3 linked regions of the Astyanax mexicanus genome follow. The protein of the gene in region 1 interacts with the protein of each later gene in a pairwise test. Links are inferred from orthologs where the notes say so. Each region holds a gene or a part of one and is shown in the gene's direction. Other genes may lie near its edges.

Region 1 (3,762 bases):
GTTTTTATTTTTAGTTAGCATATAGCTGAAATCTAATGTTGGTTGTATAATAGCAGCTGCATTCTATTGCGATAAACTGTGTTTTATATTCAATTAACGTATGATCCGATTAGTCGACTAATCATAAAAAATAATCGGTGATTAGTCGACTATAAAAATAATCGTTTGTGGCAGCCCTAAATGGGACCATGAGGAGTTAAACGTCAGCCCTATCTGGGCTGTACAATACACACAGGACCTAGATGGGACCCATGTGGGATTAAATCAAGGTCCTGTAACATCATATGTACAGTACAAACCCACCTGAAATGCACCTATAGCCCACATTTTACCCATTTGACCCTCACATGAACATATTGGCTGGGATGCTTCCCAAAAATGTGTCTTTGTGAGTACCACAGATACTCATACTCAGTAGAACATTAGCCTCTCACTTTTGTTTACTAGACTAAAGCAACTGAAACCAGAAACCAGCTTTAGGCGACTAAACAGTGCAGAGCACATCATGAACATTCTTTCCTCCCAGTATTGTATTATTAAAAGAAATGAGTGCAAAAGGAAGTAATGCAACAATGAATGAACTGCATTAACCTGTGATTTACTGATATGACCATACATCTTTTGGCCTCAGTAACTATTTCAATGTGTTTGTGTGCATAGGTGTGTACATATACACTTTATAAAAAACAAAACCAATAAACATTTGTACATCAAAATGTGTTCCTTGTTATTAACAAGTGATAATAATAATAGTACTACTACTACTACTAATAATAATAATCTTTGAGTTCAAATGATTAAATCAATAAAAAAGGGGGAAAAGTGGAACTGACTACCCAGGGCCTGAGTAGGGAAAGGGGCCCATGAAAATCCTGATTTTTTTTTTTTTCGTTCACGTTCCTTGTGTACTGACATGGATAGGGGCCCACTGACATTGAGAGTGTACAGGACCCAGAATTTGCTGCTTCACCCCTGTTTATACATATATGTATATATATGTTTAAACAGGGGTGAAGCAGCAAATATATATATATATATATATATATATATATATATATATATATATATATATATATATATATATATATATATATATATATATACAATGACATCCCTAAAAAGGTTAATAAACACATAGATCCACCACAGAAGCAACGGAAACAGTTAGAAAATACATAGTTAGAGTTCATATAAACTTAAGAGGACTTCTAGAGAAAAAAATATTTAAAAAAAGTCCAATATCTAATTGTTTCTATACTTGTATCAAATGTCATGCTTTTATCATAAAGGTCTGGACTTGTGTTCATGGCTCTTTAATTGGGCGTGGCTAGAGCGCCCTAGCGGGCGGGGTGTATTTGAATATTCATGAGAGCACGCTCGCTCCTCCGAGCTGCTGATGAATGAAGACGCAGCTTGAGGAGCGTGTAGCTTTAATCCAAGTCAACGCGATTTCTGCAGAGTGAGAGAAGCAGCCAGCAGCCAGCTGCGGTCACACACACACTCACACACACTCATACACACACACACAGGCTCTCGGATGAAGGCGACAGCACAGGTCAGACTAGCTTAGAGGCGGCTGAGGCTACAGAGAGAAACGCTGCGGCTGTAGTTTCAGATCACATTTCACTCCTAGATTTTGTTGTCTGAGCTGCTACTTGAGATATCTGACATTTTTCCAGAAGATTGAGTCCATTCACCCCCAATATGGACACCATATTGGACAGTTTTGCCTCGGACAAACTTTTCCCCAATTCCAACCTGTTGGACCTGGAGGACCTGAATGAGAGTGATTTCCTTACCAATGTGGTGAGTGGAGATAATTCACTTTCATTAATTCTTCTTTCACTGTTTATCCTGTCATTTCTGCAGGCTAATATAACAGACTATATACTGATGGTGAATTGGATGGTTATGATGGTGTGTTTGTGCTCTGAGGGAAACAGCTGGTGACTATGTGAAACCGGTATGTTCATGATAAAAAGTTGCAGTTTCACAAGAAACCGGTATTTACATGCTAAATCTGACAGTTTGTTTTTCTTTGCAATAGTTTCAGTATCAATGTGTTTATATATACTTAGTATATAACTAAGTATGCGTGCATCTAATCGTTAGTCTCGATTTATTTATATTAAACCCTATGTGACAGTCAGTTTACCAATAAAGTTTAAAGCCCTATGTTTTTTTTCCTTTCAGTGAAAAATCTTAAAAAAATCATTCAACCTGCTGTGTAATCCAAGACTAGGTTTAATCCTGGTTTGGATAACTAACCCCCTACATTAAGTCTGTGTACCAATACCAATACCATAAACACAGGAACTAACCCCCCCAAACACACACACACACACACAGTGTACATATCCTGCGTCACTCCTTACACTTGCGCTTATTCTTGTGTTTATCTGGCGAATTTTGTGCTAACGAAATCTAAACACAGTCAAGACTTTCTCCAGCTGTGAAGTTTGCTCAGCTGTGTGAGCACAAGCAAGCAAGAGCGCAAAGGGGGGCGGGGCGTGGGCTGGGCATGTCTGCCTCTGACACGCCCACATCATACGCCCCCATCCTGCTTCTTGCATCCGGCTGATGATGAGGCTCTCTTTTTCTGTTTAATCAGACAGACAGCAGGTTGCTACTCTCATCTGCGTTGGGGGTCAGAAGTAAAAGACAGTGAACTTTACTTTACTTGACTTTATATCACACTCATGCATAAGTTCCCATTTATGCTCATCATTTATTTTACTTTTACAATGTGAAAGCATTGCTTTAAGTGAATATGCTATATTTGCAATAAAGTTATTAAGCCCTATAATTTCCTTTCAGTGAAAAATCATTAAAACTGCGGTGTAGTCCAAGACTAGGCTTAATCCTGGTTTGGGTAACTGCTCCTATACTAACCCCCTACACTTAGGCTATTTACCAATACCATAAACACAGGAACTAACCCCCTCCCCCCACAGAAGTGAAAGACAGTAAACTTTACTTTACTTGACTTTATCACACTCATGCATGAATTCACATTCATGTTCATCATTTATTTTACTTTTGCAAAGTAAAAGCATTGTTGTATGTGAAAAGACTATACAATCAAGATGTTAAGGTATTAAGAAGTAAGTTAAAATGAAAAAGAACAAAGATAAAATGGTACATCTTCTATGTTTTAGATTCAGTATTATTTCCCCTGTTTTTTTTTTTTTTGAGCTGTTAGTCCTCCTTTAGTTTTAAAAATCTCATATAAAGAAGTGCTTGCAAAAAGTTTTTTGGATGAGTGCAATAGAATTCCCAAATATGCATCTGCACAAACATGCCGTGGCCAAAACATTCACTATATATTATGGTATTTTAACGATAACGATACTCATGGCGATAAAACACTGATTAAAAAATATATATTGCAAGAATAAACTACTGCAACAAAATAAAAATTAAATTTTACTATTGCATATAATATGATAGGGCACACCCCTAACTGAGATATTAAAAAATACAAGAATTTTATCAGATTTGTAACAGAAGAATAATCCAGAATGTCATGATACTAATAATGCACTCCAAATATCTTCATATATCCAGGATTAAAGTAAAATAAATGATATTGGACAGATAGAATCTGTCTCTAGTAGATATATAATGGGAAATGAGAACAGTGTGAATTTTTCTTTGGCTAAAAACAGCAAAAAAGTAGTACCCTGATGTGATAATTAGGGTGGGTGATATAGTATGATATTTTAGGGTATAATATTGTTCACGTAATTCAAAAATGTTGGT
Region 2 (3,762 bases), on another chromosome or scaffold:
CGGTTCCGACAGTGACTCCTGAAAAGGAACGAGAGACTTAAGCTAAAGGGTGGATCAGTGAGGGAGAAGAGGTGGGAAATCCGTGTTGTTGAATTGTTAAATAGACCCTTAAACTAGAAATACTCACTTTCCAGACCTAGTCTGGATTTGGAACCTGGAGACTTCCATCCCCACTTCTCTCTTTCTCTCTCTCCTCACCCACAAAAAGAAAGAGAGAATACTGGAATGTGTCCTTGTTTAAACGGTCAATAAACAAACACCCTCCTTTTTTTCTTTTTTGTTTTTTCTTTTAAAATAAATTGATGTGATTGGTTGTGGTATCTTTACACATTTACAAGGCCCAAATATTTTTTATGGTAATGCACCAAGTTATCCAGAAAATCAGCAGTGAATGTCAAGGCTTGGTATAAGACTAAAAAACAGCAGTGTAATCAGATGTCTATAGACAGTACTTTTGTGGTGAATAATCCTGTCAGTGAGAACAGTCAGTTTTTATGTGAAGGCTGGTTTATTAATGTGTGAGAAAATTCTGATTGAAGCCATGAAGAAAAATGCATTGGACTGTGACTGTTCAGTACTGTATATGGTGCACAATACTGTAGCCAATCAACATGATCATTTCCCTAAAGAGGAGTGGAAAACATTCCCAATAATGTGGTGAGTGAGTTTAACAAGCAAGAAAAGTATAATGTCTGTGAAAATAAACATTTTTTACATAATGCTATGGCATGTACTGTTGATCTTTAGCAAAATTGTTGCTTGAGCAGCTTTTTTTTTTACCTGTTAAAACCAGAGATTGTTTTCATATGTTAAAAAAAGTTCAACTCTTATGTGTGAGGAATTAAATATACAGATATTTCACTTTGATTATTTTTATTTAGTATATTTAGCAAATTACTACTTTTTTGTATAATTCAGTTGTTATTGGTTATGATATCCGAACTGCTTTATGAATTATCACATATTTTAAGATTTAAGAACATTAGAGTCAGTTATAATTCCAGTCATCCTAGTCATAGACTTTGTATTCTTTCAGTGGAAAAACTCTATTACAAAAATGCATATGCACGTTAATGTTTAAATTTTAGAGCCCGTAACAGAATTCCTATTTTCATTCTGATTAATGCTAAATGCATAGGCATTTCTATCATTGTCCTTCCCTGCTGTTGGGTTGTTTTCCTAGCCCTAGCTTGCCCTGATCGCTTTCTGAAAAAGATTAATAATTTGTCTGTTTTGAATTATTTGGGTGTTAGTTTGTATAAAATTAACAGTGCATTTAATTGGAAAATATCATCCCACTGATGTAAAAAGAATATACATTTTTGTCGGTGTGCTATATGGACCTAAAATAATATCACTATATTTCACTCCTATTTTTTCCCCATTGGCTTAGGTTTTGAGCGATATTAAAAAAAAATTAATAATAATTAATAATAATTCGAGAATATTGACTTTTGTAAGCAAACAGTTTAAAGTTTAAACATTTAAAGTGATGCCCACACATATGTATGTAAAAGAACGGACTTTTAGTATGAAGTTGTGTTTTTAAAATAAAAGTCCTTACAAAACACTAACCGGACGCTGTATTGTGAACGTCCTCGTCAGCTTCTACTAGCAATAGTTTTTTAGCTGTTTCTGCTAGTAATTGTTATATAATTTGTATTGAAATAAATAGTTACCACTCTGTGTTAGCTATTAATACCACAGACGCTGTTTAGTAGTGTCTTATTGACCGAAATAGGCGGCGACAGAGGTAGCTAACGCTAGCGAGCTAGGCTAACTAGAGGTAGAGTCTCGAGCTTACCGGTGCTAGGCTCATTAAATAGTGCTAATTTAATTCCGGAGTTAATTTCTCCCCTCAGAGCTTCGCTGTGCGCTATAAACGGCTTGGTTCTGGGTTATGGGCTGTAGAATTCAGGCTGCCGCCGTTTCCCCGCTGTTGTCAGTGTGTGAGGGAGGAGTTGGCAGTAATATGTAGTCGGTGAGAGCGGCTGTCAGGATGCTACAGGTGCCCTACGGAGCTGTGGACCGGGATAAACCGCTGATCCGCCTGCCGTTCACCCTGTTCGCTGTTTTAACTGTCTGCCTGCCTCTGCTCGGACTCATCACCTGCATCACGGTTTCACTGCTGTATCACTACAATGAAGCCACATATACCCACTGCCAGGTGAGTATTATAGCTAGCTAACTTACTAATTAAACGTTAACTAACTAATTTTCTTTATTTTTTAAATGTTTTGTTTGCACATAACACTGTTTGATGTCCATCAGAATATACTATGAACCAGCCAATGAACAAGTTTATAAAGCAATGAAACAGTAGCAGGGCCCCATCCACTGCAAAAACACTGGAAAAACGAGGAGCCGCTCGCTGCAGCCTGTAGGAAGGCGGAGTTGGACATCCAACCCCGCCCACATCCAACTCCGCCCATGTCCAACTCCGCCTTACGTCTAAAGCAACACCCACCTTACGTCCGTCACGAACGCCTACATTTACTCCAGGTAAACAGGAATTATAGCCGAGAAAGCAGCTAAAGCATCTATCTGATTTATATCTCCGGTTATGGCGGTAAGTACAAATATTGAGTTATTTTTTAAGTTAACAGAGCTATTTTTATAATGTCCTCTTGTTTTTCTATATTATATTTTATGAATAAACAGTGAGTCGTTGATACGAACCCTTACTGTGAAGGTTCTACATCGGCGCGTGTACCATGTGGTTTGTTTGCTTCTAGCTAGTCATATTGCCGTTTTTTTTTTTTGATGGATTCTAATGCAGAATTGCACCCAGTCTTGTCTAATTCAAACTTTAGTTATCTTACCTTCTGTTTTATGGGCTAAAATGCTACCAATTAATGGTATCACAGATAAACTCTCATAGCTAGTAGTGAGCTAGGCATCAGTTTTGTTTTTAAGGCATAGCTAGGGGTTATAGTCAGCTAACCTAAAAAACTGTTTAAACTGTCTATACAAGAAGTTAATTGGCCAACAAGATAGCAAGATAATCTAGCTAACTAAAATTGGTTCAAAGTCTTAGTCATACAAATAAATATTTGAAATGCTTAATCCTCCTATTTAATTTGTCAGGAATAGCAATGGTATTCCCGGGTTAATTTGACCTGGTTCATTTTTAATTATCCAAAATATTTCTGAAACCAAAATAATCCTAACCAGAAGAGTAAATATTTAATAACTAACTCCATTGCTGATTGTTCTATCAACATTTAGTACAATAGTGTACAATAGAGGTAATAGTTCAATTAGGATAATTCACTTGTTTTTCCATTTTAAAAAATCTTACTTTTTTTTTGTTTTACTACTTTGTTACTTTAAATGACCAACACAATATTTTTACATATAAATGAAACATAACATTACAATTTCGTTTTAGTTTTAGTTTTTGCAGGGGGTTGTTGCAAATATGAAATTAACCATTTTCATGTTATATGTTAATTATACAAATAAAGGCAAGCTGAAGACGTTTCATACAGAAAAAATACTTTTACTATCTTACTAAATGGGTCAATTTGACCCGTAACGTAACAGGAGGGTTAAGTCGATGCACATTTATTACCTTTGTACTGAATGTAGTTACAATTAATGTGCACCGATATAGTAATTGTAAGCTCATGTTGTGTTTTGTTGCTTTCTGTTTTACAGCATCCAACACATGTTCAGGCCACTCCTGACCCTTCACGGTTTGGCCAGTGTGGTGTTTTCAAATGCCCCTGCTTCAGTTTTGACACTGACCAGCGATTTAAT
Region 3 (3,762 bases), on another chromosome or scaffold:
CGCCGTGTGGAGCCCGCTGGCCCCCTGTCGGTGGTCGCTGAAATCGTAACAGTGACGAGAGAAAAAAGGACAGTCCAGCTTCTGATGCTCTTACTCTTCCTCGAAAAGCACTTTAATACTGTTCTTTATCACTCTCACTACAGTACAACTGATACTATACTGTACTATCACACAACTAAGAGACTACATAATCCTAAAACAATACAATACAAATAAAAACTATACTACAGCTATGATACTAAACTGTACTAACATATACTTTAGAGACTACATCATTATTTTATATTAAGAGTACACTAGTATACTATACAATATAAAACTATAGTACAGCTATGATACTTTACTCTACTATCCTGCACCAAGGGACTATATAATCCTATATTAAGAGTATACTAGTGTACTATACAATACAAATAAAAAAAAACTATACTACAGCTATGATACAATGCTATACTATCATACAACTAAGAGACTACATAATTCTACAACAACAATATACTAGTAAAAACTACAGCTATGATACTATATTGTATTACAACGAAGAGACTATATAATAATTGTATTGTAAAGCACTTTGGTTTTAAATGTGCTCTATGAATAAATTTGACTTACTTACTTACTTACTATTGTAATACTATGCAATACCTCTAGTACTATAACACAACTCTGATACCATACTGTACTATCATACAACTAAACGACTACATAATCCTAAAACAATAGTGTACTAATATACTATACTAGTATACTATACAATACCAACCTATTGTATTGTGTATATAACGAGTATACTATGCAATACCAACCTATAATACAACTAGAGTATGTTACTATCCAGGACTATGGTACTTTTTTTACCACTTATACTGTACAAAACTATACTATACCATAATATACTATATAACACTGTATAGCAATACTATACTATAATCCTGCACAATAATATTAAAGAATACTTAATAACTGTCATGATACCTGATGTTAAATTGTACAGAAATAATAGTAGTACTATAATATTATACAATTCAACACAAATAATGCAGTATTAGTTTTTTAATAGATTTATAGACTTTGATCACTGTTCAAAAGACTTATTTACAGTGTTGTATCCTCAAAAAAATCCAACATCAAATTGTTTGTAAATGTGAAAACAATTGTTGGAAATCCTTAAAAAATATATTCAACATTAAGAAGTTTCAAAAAGATTCAAATTACTTTTTAAAAAGATCCTAATCTTTTTTTTTAAAAAAACTACTATTTTTAAATACATTTTCAAGTCTTTTTGCAAATATATTTTTAGCTAATATTTAACACTCCGACTGCATCTCTGTAGTCCTTAGATACATTAATGAACCACATCTCCCAGCATGCAGTTCGTGTGACTAACAACGGCTGTGGTTGGCTGTTTATGGTAGCATAGGAAGTGTTGCTGTGCCGCTTACTGTATCCAGGGGTAAACAGTTATGATGGAGTTTTAAGCGTCGCCTCGCTGAATTAGGGATGTGTACAGATAAACGGGATAAGTTTAATAATAAGTAATGAGTGAGGCATTAGCAGCATAAGCAGCAGTGGCCAATTTGTTAACCGGAAAAAAACGACTTAACGCGCGAGTTAGCTAGCGTTAGCTATCGGTTCCATTAGTTTAATTCACGGTACACATAACACTATGGCTAGCTAGTAAATTAGCTAACGCTAAAAGCTTTTTTTCTTCAGTCTTTTACTACATAAACAAAGCCTGGCTAAGCTAAACGCATCATTGTAACACAGGGCTGTGGATTAAAGCGGTCTAATGTTCGCTGTACAGGCTGGTTTTAAAAAGTTAACTAGGTACTAGGTACCTAGAGGTGAGTTTTTACAGGTGAAGAAGTGAGGTAGCTAACTAGCTAGGAAGGGGCAGATTAGGTAGGTATGGCTGGAGCAGTGCTGGGAGTCGGTACCGGGGTTTTCCTCATTGCTCTGGTCTGGATCGTGACTCTTGTTCTCACCCTCCTGCTGTCCAGAGCCTCCGCTCCAACAAAGTAAGCTAAATAATGATCCTGCATCAGATTAACTGTACAGCTAACCTAGATAACAAGCTAATATTTTTTCCTTATCTACCCAAAGAGTTTGGTTCTCGTACTCTAATCAAACCCTTTTAAAACTATACTAGTATATTATATGTTTTAATTGAATGAGCTGGATAATATATTGATATCTTACCATGCTGTGATACGTTTTCTTATCATATTGACAATTAGCATATAGAGGATACCATCAGCACTTAAAGAACAATAACCTAGCTTTACATTTCATTACAAAGAATGTAAAAAATCATGTTAAACTGAATTATGTGCAGCAACATTCAAATAAAATGTTAAATGATTTATTTAAATATGTTAATTAATTAATTAATTAATTAATAAGAATCACCGTGCTATGCATAAATCTGTCACTGCCCACGCGTTTGTCTGTGTGTTAAAATAAAGTAAATACTTATATTTATACTAATATATACTTATATATACTTATAATAATCTTTAAATATTCTCATATACACGATGAAGTATGTGTCACAGACCCTTTAAAATATGTGGAAAGTTACTTACAGCTCCTCATCAGTCATTTTAACTCATGAAGCCCCTAAGTAAAATGGATTAAACATCCTGAGTGCATTACAGGACAGTGTGTGAATGTGTGTTTGTTCATCTGACCTTGTGGTGTGCTGGGTTTGTGCTGGAGATAAAACTAGCTCCTTTAAAATTGTATTTTTAAGCTGAGAGAAAAAGAATCCAGCATCTGAAAGTTAAAGAAGCATACTGGCTGCCTCAGTAGAATGATATTACCGGATTTAAAACAAATATAAGTTATGATAGGGATGGAATTTAAAGGTTAGTGGAGCACCACAATGATTTTGAAGCAGTCATTTTAAGATATACATGCTGCATATATTTGCTGATGTTACTTTAGAATAGATGGTGGTTATAAAGGTGGTAGCTTAATAAGTGCATTTCCACTTCTTCCTGAACACGTATCTTGCACTGATCAGCTGTTCCCAGATGGCTAGTTTACTGGGGTTCCACAAGGAAATTACAAAGATTATGCACACTCTTCAGGCATTTGATAATTTCAAGTTCAGTTTTTAGTACCTATTAAAATCAATACACTCTAATTCCTTAACTTTTACCTACCACATGTCTTATAATTTAGCCTTGCTTCTTTACATGTTTATTAAATTTGTAAGATTTTTAAAGAATAATACTATATTCTTCCATCAGACTGCTGATCATCCCCATTGTTCTTCTGGCTTCTACCATCACCTTGATCCTTGTGTTCTTCCCACGAGCCCCTGAAGTTCCTTCCCCAGTTAAAGAAGTACAGGTCAGTGCTTTTAATCCTAACGGTAGATGACATGCTGGTTTAAAATCTGCCATTGTAGTTTTCCCATGTTCACACCTACAGCTCTGGGGAAAAAAAATGAGAGACCACTTAAAAATTATGAATTTCTTTGATTTTACCAAATTGAACCAGGAGTGGCAGTGTGTAAGACTGGTGGAGGAGAACATGTGATAAAAAAACTGATTAAAAAACAGGGTTATTCCACCAAATATTGATTTCTGAACTCTTAAAACTTAATAAATATAAACTTGTTTTCTTTGCATTATTTGGGGCCTGAAAGCTCTGCATATTTTTTTTTGTTATTTGAGGCATTTCACATGTTCTGCAAATAAATATTTTTATTTGCATAATATTGCATAATATTTTCACATGCACACGTCTCTATGA

Evidence for each region.
Region 2: the proteins of creb3l1 (region 1) and pgap2 interact in binary tests that used the Homo sapiens proteins (3 or more experiments, as listed by UniProt). The two-hybrid records come from large-scale screens. The link is inferred for Astyanax mexicanus from reciprocal best matches to the Homo sapiens genes CREB3L1 and PGAP2.
Region 3: the proteins of creb3l1 (region 1) and tmem218 interact in binary tests that used the Homo sapiens proteins (3 or more experiments, as listed by UniProt). The link is inferred for Astyanax mexicanus from reciprocal best matches to the Homo sapiens genes CREB3L1 and TMEM218.

The regions. Positions count from the first base shown.
Region 1 is NC_064430.1:14,611,612-14,615,373, forward strand, and holds the start of creb3l1 (cyclic AMP-responsive element-binding protein 3-like protein 1), read left to right. Parts: upstream 1-1,411; 5' UTR 1,412-1,704; coding exon 1,705-1,806; intron 1,807-3,762.
Region 2 is NC_064424.1:10,367,476-10,371,237, forward strand, and holds the start of pgap2 (post-GPI attachment to proteins factor 2), read left to right. Parts: upstream 1-1,544; 5' UTR 1,545-1,999; coding exon 2,000-2,167; intron 2,168-2,362; exon of another isoform or gene 2,363-3,762. Other genes in the region: ncbp3 (nuclear cap-binding protein subunit 3), read left to right, coding at 1-22.
Region 3 is NC_064427.1:33,392,967-33,396,728, forward strand, and holds the start of tmem218 (transmembrane protein 218), read left to right. Parts: upstream 1-1,408; 5' UTR 1,409-1,908; coding exon 1,909-2,018; intron 2,019-3,254; coding exon 3,255-3,357; intron 3,358-3,762. UniProt on the Homo sapiens protein: May be involved in ciliary biogenesis or function.